2 linked regions of the Tribolium castaneum genome follow. The protein of the gene in region 2 purifies or fractionates together with the protein of the main gene of each other region. This does not show direct contact. Links are inferred from orthologs where the notes say so. Each region holds a gene or a part of one and is shown on either strand. Other genes may lie near its edges. The genes, in order: tether containing UBX domain for GLUT4 and Npl4.

What was found.
Region 1: the proteins of Npl4 (region 2) and tether containing UBX domain for GLUT4 purify together in Homo sapiens (affinity purification with mass spectrometry; 3 studies listed by BioGRID and IntAct, with this or other methods). This does not show direct contact. The link is inferred for Tribolium castaneum from reciprocal best matches to the Homo sapiens genes NPLOC4 and ASPSCR1.

The regions. Positions count from the first base shown.
Region 1 is NC_087394.1:35,464,648-35,473,504, forward strand, and holds tether containing UBX domain for GLUT4, read right to left. Parts: upstream 5,541-8,857; 5' UTR 5,485-5,540; coding exon 5,401-5,484; intron 5,360-5,400; exon of another isoform or gene 5,353-5,359; coding exon 4,603-5,352; intron 4,553-4,602; coding exon 4,195-4,552; intron 4,113-4,194; coding exon 3,760-4,112; 3' UTR 3,697-3,759; downstream 1-3,696. Other genes in the region: ecd (protein ecdysoneless), read right to left, coding at 1,126-2,586, 2,972-3,177, 3,330-3,573; uncharacterized protein LOC103312249, read left to right, coding at 5,861-5,923, 6,007-7,902. UniProt on the Homo sapiens protein: Tethering protein that sequesters GLUT4-containing vesicles in the cytoplasm in the absence of insulin. Modulates the amount of GLUT4 that is available at the cell surface. Enhances VCP methylation catalyzed by VCPKMT.
Region 2 is NC_087399.1:8,833,777-8,843,240, reverse strand, and holds the start of Npl4 (nuclear protein localization protein 4 homolog), read right to left. Parts: upstream 5,403-9,464; 5' UTR 5,291-5,402; coding exon 5,270-5,290; intron 5,135-5,269; coding exon 4,886-5,134; intron 4,838-4,885; coding exon 4,650-4,837; intron 496-4,649; coding exon 95-495; intron 44-94; coding exon 1-43. Other genes in the region: uncharacterized protein LOC659663, read left to right, coding at 6,032-6,110, 6,159-6,250, 7,972-8,081, 8,134-8,391. UniProt on the Homo sapiens protein: The ternary complex containing UFD1, VCP and NPLOC4 binds ubiquitinated proteins and is necessary for the export of misfolded proteins from the ER to the cytoplasm, where they are degraded by the proteasome.

The sequences.
Region 1 (8,857 bases), on a different chromosome or scaffold from region 2:
TCGTGTAACAGTCGGCGTAATTAGAAAGCGCTTTCTAAGCATAAAGCTGCAGAATTGGTAAACTACAAAATGCGGTAATTAGGTATATTTGTAGTTAATTTGGCTGAATAACTCAAAATGTTTATTTTGTTTCACCAATACACTCAGTTTGCAATTTCTGTTTTAAAATTTGAAGGTAAATTTCAGGTTTAAACGTTGTTTGACATTAAAAAAGCTGTTTCATTCAAATTTGAAAAACTACTGTGCCGTAATTATCAACGAAAGACGAGTTGTCTCAAATGAAATACAATACAATACTTTGCCTAAACTGCCCTAATTGCACTGAAATTACAAAAAAATTGATGATTAAAAAAATGCCCACTTCCTACCTAATCATTAATCACATTTTTATATTCTGAACTTTTATTCTTAAAATTTTTAATTTAGAGTCGAACGTAAGACATAAATTATTATTTATACGGTTAGTTTATTAAAACATACCAAACCATCAACAATTTGTGGTCAATAAAAATAAATGTATAGGCATTTGACAAAACGAATAATTAAAAAAAATCAATCACTGCAAAATTACGCTCTAATTAGCTCATCATAGCAATTTATAAAAAACGCTGCATTTTTCATACTGTGTTACTCATCAGCATCACTTATCCTGTATCCAGATAGTGTTTTTAGGGATTTTAGTCTTACAAAGGAGTAATGAAACAACGTAAATATTATTTCAAAAATTTACTGTCTGTAAAAAAAGTTACAAAGTGTTTATGAAGACTAGCATCAATCGACATAAAAATATTAATTTAACGAAGCATAATATCCTAAAGTATTAAATATATTCTTTTAATTTTCATAACAAGCAGCTAAATCTAAAATACATATGCGGCTGTACAGAACGAAAAAAAGAAATGTGTCATAGTTGCAAAAACAACGTAACGTTAACACAAAATATTTTTCATATTTCTGAGGTAATATTAAGCATGTAATCAAATCGTTCGTGTTCTGTACAGCTTAACGTGTGAATCTCGTACACTGTATACATCAATAGTGAAAAGACAATGGCAGTAAACCTCCTTATTGGCACGCGCTACAAAAATTAACAGTAAATCAATAAATCGCGCTTAAATAATCATCTCAATCATCGTTATTACTGACATCCAAGTGCACCCCCATCGGCCCTAACATATTACTCGACGGTCCCGCCTCCCCCAACTGCGACTTATAACTCTCCAGAATATTCTTCAACGCATTCACGTCAATATCAACAGGTTTAAAACTCTCAATATCCTCAAACCCGTCCCCGTTCTTCTTCTCGAAACTTTCCCCGATTGTGGTCGCCGCCAGTTCCTTATCCATCTGTTCCATATACTCCTGCATTTTATTTTTAACCCCTTCGTACATCTCCTCATTCCCGGCAACATCGTCGGCGTAATCGCTCATATCAGACCCAGAATCCAAATCCCAACTGTCATCTTCCGGAATGACAAAATTCAGGATGTTCTGAACGGCGCAAGAAAACGCATTCGGATCAAAACTAACTCTATTATTAGCTGTTGTCTCGGTTTTTGTGCCACTTGCGAACGAAACTTTGGTGCGTTTTTTCACGCCTCTAGGGGGCCGAGTTGGGGAATTGTCCAGGTCTGGGTGCTCAACTCCGTCAATATCTGACACGTGGTTTAAGAACGAGGAGATTTTTTCAGTGAAAGAGGCGGCGTCTGAGTTGTTGTTCACTGTAACGAATTTCTTTTGCCCGTATTTTTCTTCTAACATTTTATCCAACTCTTCCGGGCTGACGTTAAGCCACGAATCGTCATCGTCAGGCAAATTACTTTCCTCCTTCAATTCATCGATCTTAAAATCCAAATTTTTGATCAACTGGACAATTTCTTGCCCAATGGCTGGAGAATAGTGCATAGAGTCTCGGTGATTGATGTAGTACTCTTTCGCTTTGTTTAATAAATCGTTGTATTCTCTTGAATGCTCCAACAACCCCCGAAAATAATTTTTCTCTTTCAGTTTCTCAAAATAATTAACCCACCCTTTATCCTGTTCAATGTCCTGGCTTGGTTTGGCTTGCGCGGCTAAAATCTCAAACCCACAGGCGATTTTAACGCCTAAATTCTGCGCTTTAAACTGTGGGCTGTCGCTTTTAGGCAAGTTCCAGCCGGTTCTGCGATCCGGAACGTATTTACTGTGAGTTAGCATTGCGTATAAACATTTAGTAAATGTCACTCTGGCATTTACGCGGTTTTCGGGCGGAAAATATTTCATGGCTTTGCAGGTTTTGGCGTCAACTGGGTCTCGATTACAAAAGACTTGGACGGCGGGGGCTATAAGCCCGGGTTTGTGGCGCAAAATTGCAGCGACACCTACTGGTAGGTAGGCAGTGGCATGGTGAAGACTGGACTGGATTTTGTCAGGGTAGTCTTTTAATTTGTTGATTATACAGTTTTGGATGTCTGATGAGGCTAAAGTGTCGATCGGATTGTTTTGGATTGTTGAGACGGCCTCATTGACCGCCATTTGGGCCATTTCTGGGAGGTGATCCGAGGTGTCTAGAGGGATGATATGAATGTTGCCTTGGTAAATGTATACCTGGAGAAAAACCAGATCCAAGTCAGTTTTGCTTCAGTTATTACAGAAATGTATAAATAATTATAAATGCTTAACTAATAAATTATTACTTAAGTGAATTTTAATGTAGAAGTACTATCTTATAGAGCTGCAATTTTGTTGCAATTTTTTCACATGTTGGTACAGCTTCGTTCATTGACTTGTGTTGCATTCGTTAAATTATTTTTTTGATGGTAACATTTTAAGCCTTCTTTTTCACATCTGAATGCTAGATTATAAACACTATTTTAAAACACTCTTACCATAGCAACGTTTTTTAATTAAAATTTCCAACAAAAAAATCAATTATCACTTTATTCTAATTTGAATTAGAAAAAAGACAAGCACAGATAATGAGAAACCTTACCCTATTTTCGCAGTTGTTAGGGTCTGCCCATAAAGGTAAGTAATCAGCTGCTTCAATTAAAATAAATTCGCCATCAGCGTCGTGCACACGAGCTATTAAACCATCAATTTCCTTAGTTAGGAGACGTAAAAGGAACACAATAAACCACTCGTCCTCTATATTGTCTCCAAAATGAGTTACGCCATATAAATGTGGTGGTAAATACTCTGCAAAACAATTGATCTCGAATTAGGTGATTCAAAAAATTGTTACATTGTGATTTATACAGATTTACTTTAAACAAAGCATTTGCTGGTTTATAACCTCAAAAAATGTAAAAGCACTTTTTTAATGTGAAGTCATAAAATACGACCATTACCTGTTTTTTCACTATCATGAATCAGTGAATTACTAATCCACGTTCTCACAGTTAATTTAAATTCGTCTTTATGCCATAAATACTCATCGGTGTACCTTTTTACGATTTTTTCACACTGATTTAAAACTCTGGTTAACGCAAGTTCTTGTTCTTTGTCGTCCTGGGAATCAATAGGTGGAAAAAGATGATATTCAACAAAATCATCTTCACGAACGGACTCAAGAACGTTAACTTTACTTGCCATTGTTGTTTTAAAAGTAATCAATTAAAAAATTTGAATGACATTTGACACACCATTGGTGCCAATAAAACAAAACTCCCCAAACTATTCAAAAACACCCGCTCCTCTCACCAAAATAAAACAAAATTAGATGCTGAAGTGCTTTTATTTAATATAAGTACCAACTCATATAAACTTAACACTAATAAATCACTTTGATGGTCTAAACCACTTAGGGACTTTTTCCGTTGATTTTATTACTTTCCTCTCGTAACTGGTTGGTTGTGTACTTGGCCCAGCAGCATTTGCTTCAGTCAGTGTATCCATAGACTCATCCTGGCCCATTTCTTCACTCGGAGATTCGGGTCTTGTTCCCTTTTGCCGCAACTGTGACGCCGCTAAACTTGCTTTTGAGTTTGTTGTAAATTTATCCCTCAATTCCGCCTTCAAGCACACAGAACTCCCATCACCATTTGCTCCTAAATGCAACAAAGCCCCCGGCACGCAACCAATTTCCACTAGTTTTGATTCGTCCGAGAGAACATTTTTAGGCGGCGTTGTATCTGTAACAATATTTAAACATGTGATCAAAGTAGTTTCTGACTAGAGTCAAAGGTCACTTGACTGAAGTAGAACAATACTTACAAAGATGAAAATCACTGTTTGGATCTTCTAGGAAAGAAGTGACGAAATCTTTAATATCTTTAACAGTTTCGCTGGGCTTGAAGCTCCCTTGAAGGATGGACCTGTCTGGGAACTGGACGCGTATTACTGACTGTTTATATTTACGCAGTTGGCGTAATTGCTTCTTTGATTCTTCTAAATTGCGCATTGCAGAGGTCATGAGATTAGCGTTGTCCATTTCGTTTCGCTTTCTTCTAATATCGCCCAGAATTTTCTTAGCATCATCAATTGTGAGCTCAAAAAAATCGTCTGGTAGGTCTTCAGCTGGTAAAGAACGCGCCGATTCGAGAGAAAATAACATTGCCTTGCGCTCGCCCAACTGAAAATTTCAAATACAAAATAAAATAATAAAAATAAAATGCTACATACAAAAACAAAATCGTCCTCAAGCTGACTAGATGATGGGTTGGTAACTGGCTCTTTTGGGTAATTTGCGATGTTTTCTGGCAAATCAACATCCATTTTTTCGTCGTCAGACTCAACTTTGGGTTTAGTTTTAGGCGAATGCGTTTCCGTTTCCGGAGTTTTGGAAGGGCTGCTCAATTTTCGTTTTTCCCGTGCTAGTTTCAATAAATCAACCTCAGTTTTCTTTTGTAAAGGCTTCACATCGGTAGTTTTAGAATATTCAGCTTCAGTCTTTAAAGTGCGATGAAAGGGCTTCTCCTCTACCGGTTTCGTAGGCAGAGGAGCAGAGACATTTGCTTGGACTTTTAGTTCGTCAGGCCTTCGATACATTAACCGCATCATCGCCCTACCACCTCTTAGGCCCAAGCTTCGCAAAGTGGCTTTTTGCAAATTGTCGCCGTAAATTTCATTTCGCATATAAACCAAAACAGGATTGTCATCAGGTTTAATACTGGGGCACAATTTAGTTAGTACACTCCATAAAGTGTCATCTGGTTGGAAGTTGCCCATGACTCGGTCGCCACTTTCAGAATTTATGGCTAGAATTACTTCCGAGTCCGTGCGTGCTTTGGTTGCTGTTGCTAATTCTAACTGAGCGTTATTTGGCAAACCAGAAAAACGGAACGAAATAGTTGTGTCAAGCACTTTGTTGTGGTGCTTAATATCGTAATCCTCCGGCTTGAAACCCTGTTTGCGACAAACTTCTTCAATAATCTGAAAAGTAGGTGTTTTTTTTGGGGTTAGTTTTAATATTTTTTGTACCTGCATTATGGTCGTGTTTGCGGTACATTTGACGGTCTGTCGACGGCCGTTTGGGGCCAAGACTGAAACGGTGCTACACGACATTTTGAATAAGTGATTATTTTTATACAATTCTTAAGCAATGTTGATGATTTTTCATTTTGAAGTGACAGTTAACCTAACAATTTAAACGTCATCTCACCAGTGACAATTCAGTTTTGTTTCATCAAAATTAAAATGTAAAATTATTACTGCGATTTATATTGATGTTTTAGTTTACGCATTATTAAGATAATTGTTTATTTTAACTAACCAATATCTTAAGTACTAGAATATACAACATCTCATAATAGCTATTCTGAAACAATTTCAAAAGCTTTTTATCGTTTACAACAATAATCATAAACAGTACAGAAAATCATCATTTTACTTTATTATTATTTAAATTATTTTATTAATTTATTTTACTTGCGCAGAGTCTATGGATCCACAACAACCAAATTCTGATGATGAAGATTTTCTCAATGTATCTGCCGGTAGCAACGTAAGTGAAATTATGCCCCTATAAACCATATTCTATTTGTTAATTCACAAATATTATTGTTCATTTACTTTTTTTATTGATAGCCACCGTCTGGAAAACCAGATAAGATGCTCGGCACATCGGACTTTATTAGTCTTCTGGGGACGAGGGATGAGTCGTATTACATCGATAAAACCACTCTGTTAGAAGTTTTCCTTAAATGCGGTCGTAGCCGAGTGCTGCTGACAGCTCCACGCCGTTTCGGAAAGACTATAAATCTCTTGATGCTTAAGACTTGTTTTGAGTTGCAAGTACCACCAGAAGAATATAAGATGCTATCAGAAGATGAATTCCAAATAAAGGTAAAAGAGACAGCTAATTACAAGCTGTTTGAAGAGCTTCAGTTGGAAATAACTAAGAATCCAGATTTGATGAACAAACATTTTGGAAAATATCCTACATTACACATTTCATTCAAATGTGACACGCCAATCGCAAGTTTTTCTGATGGAGTTGCATTCTGTTGTCGGATTTTAAGTAAAGCCTTCAGGAGACATAATTATTTAATATCGGAAAAAGCATTAAGTCAATGGGACAAAAATATATATGCCAAATGGTTGAACCCCGCCGACTGGGATGAAAGGAAAGCAATGGATATAAATTTGATATCTGACGGTTTGCGAACTTTAGTCCGTTATGTCTTTGAGAGCTTTAACAAAAAAGTAGTACTACTTATCGACGAGTACGATTCGGTTATCATGCAAGCAATATTGCGTATAAAGGCAAAAGATGAATTAACGAAGGTCATACAGTTTTGTTTAGGTTTAATCCAAGCTGCTGTGAAAAATGACATTGAGCAACATGTAGAATATGCATTTATCACCGGAATTTCCCATATTTCCGGAATGGGTCTTTCTGGTTCAAACATAAAGCCATTCAGATTTCTGGAAAATCACTCTTTTGTTCCTTACTATGGCTTGACAGTTATGGAAATTCGGAATTTGTTAAGGAAGACATATCAATTTGATGATCAGCGAATTGCTGAAACAGAAAAAAAATTCAACGGTTATTCTACAGTTCGTGGAGTAAAGATATACAACATCTGGTCTGTGCTAGAATATGCTAGCAGAACTCAAGAGGATGATTTTATATATGAATGGCAAGACACCAGGTATATTGTAGGTCTCGAAAAAGCTTTTAGATTCCCTACAATTATGAAAATAATTCAAACAGAACTACTGTTGTATAAACCTATAGAGATTAAAAAATATGAAACCTTGGTTGTAGAGGATATCCTGCAGTTGGTAGAGATAATTGGAAATGTTGACCCTCAGAACGTCGAATTTCCACGTTGTGACTTTTTTTTCTCATTTCTTGTTGAGCAAGGCTATTTGTCATTTGTAGCTAACAAGCCTGGGCTGCTCGTAATACCCAACGAACAGATTAAAGAGAAAATCGAGGGAAAGATAACAGACTCTAAAATTAAAGTATTTGATAGGAATAGTATTCCTACTGAGGACTGCAGAGAATTCTTTCTGAAAATATCTGAGAGGGATTGTGATTATGATGACTTCAAAAAATTTCATACGAGTCTTGAAGATGCTTTACAAAACTATGCAGCAAAATGGATTAAAAAGAACGAAGAGAACATCCGTCGTACAATAAAAATTTTGATCAGTAATATGGGATTTAAGGACAGTGCTGAACTCAACTTTAATTTCACAGAAAATGGGGTAAAACATAGCAGAAGTATCGATTGTGGCATTATTAAAGATAGTTTCTTAATGCTTATCGAAACGAAGTATAAGGAGAGCAACAAAAAAGCAATGCTTGACATGAGGGACAGGAATTACTTAAAAGTACTTGAAGATAAAGATGTAATCAGGAATACCATAACACGTTTTGTTCTAATGGGGATAAACATGGATGAGAATGGACAAGTGTCCATCAGTTACTTACAGAATAACCACAACTTTGATGCTATGACATTAATTCCTTAGGTATTTAGTAGTATTTCATTCTAGGTCTAGTTATGATATGTCAGATGAGTTTTAGTTTTTTTCATTGTTTATTCCGGTAATTTGTTCTTTGCTGCATATGTTGATGAAAAATATATAATTTTGATGCATGATATACTTTTTTTATTTATTTAAAATTGTCTCTTTTTCTAAATTACTCGTAAACTTTGAAATGTTTCCAGACTTTATCAATTAATTTTCGGGTCGGGTATTCGAACCCGGATCAGGGTGACAATTTTTCTATGAAAAAAAGTGTGGAAAAGGTAAGTGAAACAAGACGTAAACAAAAATAAGAGATTAAGAGAACACGTTGACGTATAAACGTAAAGCGGAGCATAAAACTGACAGAAATAAGAAAATAATGCGGCAAAATGTAAAAGTACGTAAAGGCGTAAATTGTAAACGTACTTTTTGTTTTGAGAGAAAAAGAGATGAAGGTAAGGGTGAAACATAACTTCAAACTTTACCGTTGAATCCTTTGATAACTTTTTTCTTAAACGATGATATTTAAGTTATGTCTAAAAAATTTTAGTTAACTGAGTTTGTTTAGGAAAGTCCCGAAAAACATTGTTAATAAAAAAATTAAAAAAAAATCCGGTAGGATTTGCGCACGTCCACTATTTTTGACTAGAAAATACACAAATAAACCAAGTATCTATTTTACTATCCACGTTATCTATGAAATGTAATGTTGGTTGCTTCAAAAATTTTTTCAGGCTGATTATTACTCGGGTATTTAAGGATTGTTCTAATTTGTCCAGCAAGGACTACGTGGAGGTTTATAACATTTTTGCCTGGAAAAAAGGAAATAAGGATGAGAAATAGGATTCCAACATGTTCTTCGGTGAACATTGAAGGTCTCTCCCTAATTTAGTTTTTTTGTCATCATTGTTTTTTTTGTTGGTAACCCAATATTTTTGACATTTGAGAGCACAGT
Region 2 (9,464 bases):
TCCTGAGGGGGCTCATAAATCGCCACGACATTGGCTCTGATACCTTCAAAAAAATTGTTTATTACCGATCTTGTGTAAAAATTGTAAAAAATACCTAAAGGCACATCGTTGTGAATTTCGTAATTGCCGTACAAAAATCCGATTCTTTGGTGTCCTGTGGACCTCCAATAGTTTAAAAATCGCTCGACCAAGTCTTTGTTTTCAAAAGCGACATTATCGACATGTCTGTAGACTTGGCGGTTCAAAGTGATTGCATTGGGTTGGCATTTTGAACAGATCCCTTTGGGCCATGGTGGGTGGTCTTTGCACCCGTTTTTGATCCGACAGGAGATGTCTTCAAGGGCCAAAAACTTGCCCTTGTCCACTCCCGACGTCATTTTACGCAAATAAGCGTGAAACGACAAATGTTTGACGTTGTGTTCGCGCAAATAAGCCTCGTCGTAGGGCTCCAGGGCCGAGCAGTGGACACAGCGAGAGTTGCTATTGTGGCGACATCTGCAACAAATTCGCTGTTGTAAACTCTTTCGATTTAAGTTGGCAGCGTTGCCAATTTTGATGAATTCTAAAATAATATACATATTTTTTGATAATTAAAGGAAAGTGGAGGAGATGGTGTTGTTTAAAATGAGGTAACTTTATTTTAGAATGTTAAGTTTTGTACCAACACTAAAGACCAATTTAGAAAAATTCTAGATTGTTACTAAACTAATTAAGATAGAAATATGAAAGAGCAGAGTAGAATCTAAAAAAGAATTAAATTTGGAGAATATAGGGAATAATTTTGTGTCCAGTCTATAAAACAGTTCCAGAGAAGAATCTGGAGATAAATGTACAGGGTGCTGCATTTTGGATGTCCGAATAGGGTTTAGCAAAAAACGAGTGACATATTCTCAGGTTCGTTTTTTGGGAAAATAATTTTGGTCAAATCCGCATCCCGCTATCGTCTTTTGTTTTCGTAAACAAAAGTTGATATTTTAGCGAAATCTTCAAAAATTCATTTCTTCCTTATTGTAAAAGATACACACTTGAAACACAGACATTATAAAGGCACTTTTTTACGGAGAATTTAGTAATGTTATCACCGATTTTTTCTAATTATTCGTTTAGCTGTAATAACATAAAGTTGTATTTTTTTAGTTGGCTATGACATTTTTGAAAAGTTTATTTTTTTCTGATTTCATATGCCTATTTGTGTAATACATTATTTTTAAATTATTAAAAATAACCAAAATATTCCGCTTTTTCTATAGTAGGCCACAAAAAAATTTTGGATTTTTAATTCAAACTATGAAAAATGTATTACTCAAAAAGTATTTATAATTTTATGATTTTTTAAACACTAATTAATTCAAAAACAACATAATAAATAATTGTTAGATCAAATTTTTGCGATTAATAAAAATATTTGTTTTTAGATTTAAAATGGCAAGTTTACATTGTCATTCCATTTTCTAATTAAACATGAAATGTTGGAAAAAAAGAAAAAATTTATTAATTGTATGATTTCTTATAAATAAAATTTTATTTTACAAAAAAATATCAATCTAAACACCAAAATCAAATCCCATCTGCGGTAAAAAAATACTTAACATTATAAACGTCACCTCCATTCCACTTTATTAAATCATAAAAAAGTGTCATCAAATAGTTAGTGACGCATCGTTTTCAATTTTCAGCACATTTTTTATGTAATTAAAATCGTATATTTGTTCAATTGAAAATAAATTTAACAGCTTATTTTGATAATTTCATATTTTTTCCTTTAATAACCGTTAACAAAATTTCTAGATTATTCACACCTTTTATGTGAAATAATTTTTCCATGGCCAACTACTTTAAAATATTTTAAATTTATTTTTATCAAAAGTTTTTGAGAAATGTAGAAGTGTTTAGAAAATATTTTCAAGTTGAGAAAATAATTATTATAAAGGAGTATGGTGAGAAGGATTTATACAAGAATCTGGAGATTATAAAATAAACTACAAACGGTTTTAAAAAAGAATCAGAGAAAAATCGTAAGAAAACACTAAAAGAAAGGAAAGAGTATATCAGAAACAACGCTAAAGAGAAATTCGAAATGAAACTATAACAAAACTTTGAAAACAAATAGAGTAGAATTTAAAAGAAAATTTAGAAAATATAGAAAGAGTTTATTAAAAATTTTGAGGATATTTTTTTAAAGAACAATTTGATGAAAAATTAATGAAGAATCGTAAGATTTCTTTCCAAAACAATCTAAAAAATCGACCTAACAAATCATTAGAACAGAATCAGAGAAGAAACTTGGCAAAAAACAAGAGAAAAATACAGAAACACTAAAAAGTAATCTGGATAAATTCTAAAAAAAACTATAACAATTTTTTTAAGAGCAGAGTAGAATCAGATATTCGTTACATAAAAAAAGAATAATTAATCAATACAATTTATAGATTATATTACATATTTACAATTTTAAAAAGAAATCACAGTTAGAAACAATGAACTAATCACAGTATAAAATAATTTTGGGCGTAGATATACTAAGAACCCGGAGAAATAAACTCATAAAGATTTAAAGATTTTAAAGATTTTTTTTTAAATGATGCGATTCTTAATTGTTTTTATTTATTTTGTTTGGTAGAGCATTGAAAGCTTTGATAGCATGATAATTGGGCCCTTTTTCATAAAAACTAGTTTTATTTATCAACATTTATTTAAAAGAACTTAGGGCGTTTTTTTTTGTAAACATAGTCAAATGATAAACATATAAAAAGGACGGAGTCATAATATTAATTTTTTTAAAATAAGTTTTGCAAGAGCTGCAAAAAGCAACTTAGAATGTTCTACAAAATAGAAGTGTTTATAAAATTTGATTCACTGTTCATCGTTTGTTGTTATTTTTATTTATGACAAGGTACAGTTTATGTTAATTCTTTTAAATATTTTGTTAATACTATTATTTATTAATGTATTAATAAGTGTTTATGAAATAAAGGAAAAGTCCAGATTTTCGATTTACAGACGGCTTTAGAAGAGAATGAATCAGAGAATAATTTTAAGAAAAATCAATATTGAAGAGAAAATAGATAAAATAAGATAATAGATGGAAAAATTCTAAACGAAACTATGGAAAGTGTTTATAAGACACAAAATGATATCTAAAAAAAATATGTGAATATATACTATTATTAAAAATCCACCGATAAAATGTAGAAATGTTTATACAGGGTGTCTCAAAAACTCAAGATTGGGAAATTCCGGGTTCAGAACATTGTAGAGAATTGCTTCAGTAGTCCAAATATATAACAAAAATAAAGATTCGGGGCTTGCCCACAAAGATACATTGGTTTGAAGACCACACTTAGAACTGTGTTTTCTTCAAATGCAGGCTAAAAGTTTCACTGTTTATTCTTATTTATGGTGAAGATGATTGTGAAGAATAGTAATGTAAAACAATTTCTCAATAAAATAGTTTCATTTTGGAGTAAAAAAATATTAAATTTTTGTAAAAAATAAAGAATAATCTGGAAAAATTCTAAACGAAACGAAGAATTTTGAAAAGACGTAGAGTGGAATCTGAAAGAGAACTCGAAGAATGTAGAAGTATTTATTAAAGAATTTTGAATAGAACAGAAAATAAATATAAGGAAGAATCTGATGGACAATTTATAAGAGAATTTAAAGATTCAGATTTGAGACCTGAACGGCTTTCGAAAAAAAATCAAAGAAGAATCTTAAGAATTAAAGATGGAATTATAAAATTATCTAAAGATTCCAGAAACAATGCTAATGAATAATCTAAAAAAACTGTAAACGAAACTATAGACGAATTGTGATAAGGCAGACCATGTAATCTACAAAAGAATTCGAAGAATTTAAAAAAAAATGTAGCTGTGTTTATACATTAATTCTGAGTAGAGTCTAGAAAATAATTGTAAATACGCATCTGAAGAAAAATTTGAACAAATTCTAAACGAAACTATCGAAAAATTCTTAAAATCACGAAGAATGGAATATAAAAAATAATTTGAGGAATTTAGAAGTATTTATTAAATAAGAATCTGGTAAAGAACCTAAAGATTTAAGATATGAACGGCTTTAGAAAAGAATCAGAGAACAATCTTGAGAAAAATTAAAAGAAGAGTATAGGAATAATACTAAAGAACAATAATAAGAATTTTAAATGAACCTAAAAATGGGAATGTAGAAGTGTTTCTACAATAATTTTGAGTACAGTCTACAAAATAATTCTAGAGAAGAATCTAGACAAAAAAATCTAAAAATGGTTTCTTAAAATTATCTTTAGAAGAGTCTAGATCCCAAATCTACAGACGGCTTAAGAAAAGGATTATAAAAAAATCGAGAGAGAGAGAGAGAAGTACAGAAAAATGCTAAAGAATGTCTGGAAAGATTCTAAAAACATGGAATATCCAAGATTTTTGGAAAAATACAAAGGAGAATTTTGAAAATATTATTGTCTTCATATTATTATTTACGTATTTTCTGTTATTAATGTTTAGTGCAATAAACAAATGTATCAACCTGTTTGTCATTTTACTTTCTCATGTTTTAATATCGATTCTTATTACTTTAAACGTGGAGTATTACGGTGTTTTTCTCATGACATGGTTGGCAACACTGATTCCCAACAATTACTTGAACTGACTCACAATTTGGGGTCCTGCTTCCTTTCGATCTTGCCGTCAAGTTTATACAACTGGAGGTCCACTGGGTCCTCCTTAACCGTTTGCTTAAAGTTGAGGCTAACACTGCTGCTTGGTCGCGAATTGCTCACTCCGGAGCTTGTAGACGGGGTCGGTTCCCTCGGGACAGGCTCACCCGACGGCGTGTTGTTCCCCTGCAGCCCCCGTATTACGCAAACCCGATTTGGGGCCGATCTACTCACCGTGGGGAACAAGACAGCCCCGTTTAGGGGGCACAGATAGATCATGTCGCCGTGGCGGAGGCCCAGGCCAGCCACAGTCCGCGATTTGCTGCTGGGGATCTCATTTTTCTGGTTCCGTTCTTTGTACAAAGCGAACGCAAAACTGCTCAAGTCAAAAGAGTCGTGGACGCGCTCGAATAACTTGCACGTGGAGTCCGAAGCGCTGACTTCGATCCGCTTTGTGCCTTCGGGGGACTGCACCCTCAATAGCTAAAAAATAAAAAACGGCTTTGTCACTGCTTCCAGTTTTTGAATTTTGAGGTTATGTCATCGGGGTGCAAAAAATACAGAGTGGGGGCGGTAACATGATTCGGGGTGAAAAACTTGTAATTGTAAGGGGCTTACTATTGCTTTATCTTTGGACATTGTAAAAAATTCATGTATATTTTTATAAGCTTAGTCAGTACTATTTCAAGTCGAATTGTCAACCGGCACGAATGCCAACCTCGACGAGCCGAAGTCACCAAACCACCGGTTTGATTTTTGAAAAATTGGCAAAATTTTCATTTTTCAAGCATTCGCGAAAAATTCTATAAATAATCCGATTTGTTTGGTTGCGCAGTTAGTTTTGCGTGTCAATATTTTTAGTTTGTCCGATTTTCAAACTTTAAGCTCATTATAATTCATTTAAGAGCCTTGGACGAAAATTCCTGATTCTAAATATAAAATAACCGAGGAATTCGTCACAACTGCATAAACCCACAGGTGAAACTGCGATTATACTCAAACCGAGCCTGCAGCGCGTTTCGCAACATAATTAATTTGTGCGTGGTTTTAATCAATTGTAGTCAAAATCAGTTCGCTAGTTTTTGAAAAAAATCCAGTTAAAAAAATACCCAAATTTGGTGATAAACCGGAACCCGGAGAACCCGGAGTCACCTGTCAAATCGTCGAAGATTCCAGATCTCTGTGTCTGTGTCATTATAAAACGGTTCAAATCTTGCGATTAGTTAGTGAGTTAGCAGAATTATTGCGGTAAGTTTCGAACTAATTTTTATTTATTAATCAAATCAAAATTTAAAAAATCACTCAAAAACTGTCAAAACGTCAAAGTGACAGCTCATTGGCAGCAAGTTTTTGAAATTATTTTCACAAATTCCAGCCAAAATGACCTCAAACAAGGTGGAGTTGTACATTTACGACCTGTCCAAAGGGATGGCAGCGGCCCTTTCGCCTATGCTCATAAGTGAGTAGAAAATTTGAGGTTAAGTTTCCCTCCAAAAATCTTTTCCAGACAAAAAAATCGACGGAATTTGGCACACAGCGATTGTCGTTTACGGTCGCGAGTATTTTTTCGGCTCACATGGCATTTCCAGTTGTAATCCGGTAAGAGTTGGGGAAAATTGTGTGGGGTCATGTAATCCACTTTATTTGTTTTTGCGTTATAAATACAATGACGAGACGGATTTAGAAGCGGTCTCTGAGTTGGGTTACATACACAGAGGGCACTGTCTAACTGTATCATGTCTAAATCTAAAATTGGAATTGGGCTATTATTAAATAGAGAAACAGTACTTGGCTACCAGTGAACCGGCTTTCCCTCGCATTAGTCTTATTAGTGCATTTAATTCTCTTAGATCTTTGTAAGTTATTTGTGGTGGTGCATGTGTTTATGCAACGAAACGACGCGGAAGTGTATTTCTGTTTGCGTTTTTGCCACTAAATCGAATTCCAGCGGCGTGAGGTGGCCAACAAAAATTTTATTTCACTGATTTGCCACAAAAAATAGTTAATTTCGTAAAGTGCTACGCATTATTATGATTTCATTAGCGGTGTGGGTGGTAACGCATGTGTGATTTATGAAAACGTTATTTGGCAAAAACAATTTTATTTGGAGAGTTTCGCATGACCAAGAATGGCTTTTGGCGGTGTTTAATTGTCTTTAAGCTTGGCATTTCGAGCCAGACGCGTTGATTGATTCGATAAATCTATTTAAATGTCGCTTTAAAAATAAAAAATTTGCCCTATTTCTAGCGACGCCGTCTCGTAATTGTAATTAAAGAGGCGTGTTTTTTAGACGTAATTAATATTTCCTAACTGATTAAGGCAAAATCGCATGATTAAAAGTTATTTTCCGAAAAAAATCACAGACTGTTTCGGGTTTATCTTAGTCGGTGTATTGTTGGTTGCCTACACTTAGACAATGCAAAATACAGTAGAACCTCGGTTACATTACGCCATATCTACGGTGGACTATAAGTTAGGAGACGAAACGAAAGTTCTAAACCCAAAAAATAGTACGCAGAGTAAAAATGAGGGCGCTTTGAGCGTTTCAGCGCCAATTCGTTTTAAATTAATTTATATCCAACCAATTCACTAATTACTTGGAAAAAATGCAGAAGTGTTGAGCTTTGCACTTGCACATACTGGGGAACACTAACAACAAAAATTTTCATAAGAAACATGAGAAAAAAATTATTTAAAATTAAAAATTTGCGCTTTGTTCCGTATTTTTCGAGACGCTGCGAATATGGTTAAAGATACATACAAGAAAAATTTAAGATAGAAATTTGTAGAGAATTTAATTTTCTTTAAGTCCGCGATACTATATTTATCTCTTCAAAGGTTTGGGTATAAATTAATTTTCTAATACTTGACCACCGGCAGAATGAAGAAAATGCGTCGCGACTTTGGGGCCTAAATGGTTGAAGATAGGGATACGGTCTTCCGGACTTTTTTGTAGGGAATTTAATTCTCTACAACTTTTTCCTTAACATTTTTCTTGTGTCTGTAACCGTATTCGCAGCGTTTTGAAAAAAATGGGACAGAGTGCAAATTGGTAAAAGTTTTTAAAATGTAGTTTACCAACAATTTTTATGTTTGATTATTGAGAATTTAATGCTCTATCTGCCTGTATATTTTTTATACAAATACAATATTTTTTTCTGAAAACTCATGGTAATGGAACAACTGCGCTCTCTGGCGACATTAAGGGAACTATGGAGGGCGGGAACGTTTTATTTGTACCTCGTTTCGTATCCTAACCTTTAGACATCCGTAGCCGTGTCTTATTCAAAAATTGGCGCTAATTTTTGAATAATTGACAGGGTACGACCGCTTTGGGGCAGCCCTTGCGCGTGTTAACTCTTGGCGAGACCCAGGTCCCTTATTCAGTATTCATCGATTACATAAACGGTCTCAGCGAATCAACTTGGGCGTAAGCATCTCAAAAAATTGAAAAAAACACGCGCTAAAAGCGTCATATTTAGGGGCCCAACTTACGATCTTTTTCACCACAACTGCAACAACTTCTCGGAGGAAATCGCCCAGTTTTTGTGCGGTTGTAGCATCCCGAAATATATCCTCGATTTACCAAACGAGGTTCTTAGTTCGTCTCTAGGACCAGCGATACCGCTTTTGGTGTCACAGTTGGAGAAAAGTGCAAGACCTATAGCCGAAGAACAGGAAAGGGCGAGGGAGAATAGCCCCGATTTGGAACAGTTGAATTCACAAATTGAAGAAGTCAGGTCAGAGCAAAATAAAAGTGTGGGGGAGCATTGATGGAGAGCTTGGGTTTTAGTTAATTGCTTTGTGTGTTGTACGAAATTGGATAAAATTAAATAAAGCAGTGTGGAAGTTTTTTCGTGTTGCTTTTGTCAGTAAATAATTTGGTTTTGTTGCTAACTAAAAAAATAGTATAATTCTATACACAGTGGCCAAGAATAAGTGTTTTAGTTGGCAATAGATTTGTCATGTTGTCATAACAACCGGTTGTAATTTATTTTTGCCAACTTCAACAATAATTCTTGGTTATTATATTTTTGTAATACACAATTGGCAAACACGTTGAAAATTGTTAAAAATAAATAAAAATTACAAAATTATTAAAGGTCCAGTTTGCAACTTTTGAAAATACATTAGTAACATTAGTCTTGTAAAAAAATATGAATAAATATGATTGTATGAATTGTTGAATCTTGAAACCTATTGTAAAAATACGAGTAAATTAATAAAACATTATAACCAAATTGTGAAATTTTTTACTGCATTTTAAAGAATCAAAAATCGCATTTTCGACTGATTTTTAAAATTCTATTGGAAATGAAATTTATTTAAATTTGGTTAACGGCTTATTGTTTAAAAATAATTGTATTGCGTAGTACACGTAAGTATTCAACTATTCATCTATGTATGTATCAGTGGCGGCTCGCTAGGTGAAGATTTAAAATTTATTTGTTAAAAAAAAACGCACTACATCACTGCAGACAGATAAGAAAACGTAAATTTCGATTCAGTTTAGTAATTTTTTCACAAAATTTTGCTTGGTTTTTGGCTTATTTTAGCGAATTAATGCTAATTTAATCAATTTTTGGGTGAAAATGCTCGAAAAGAGCAAGTAAGATGACGAAATTTTCGACTTAGGTTAATAATAAGTTTGTGTTATTGTGAATTTTTGACTAAGCATGTGCTTAAAAATTTGAAAAAGGCAACGATTTAGTCCGGCCTTATTTCTCAAAAAAATATTTTTCACTCATAAAATGAGCTAAATATCACCCATTTCATTAGACAAATTGTTTTTTGATTTAAAATAAATAAATAA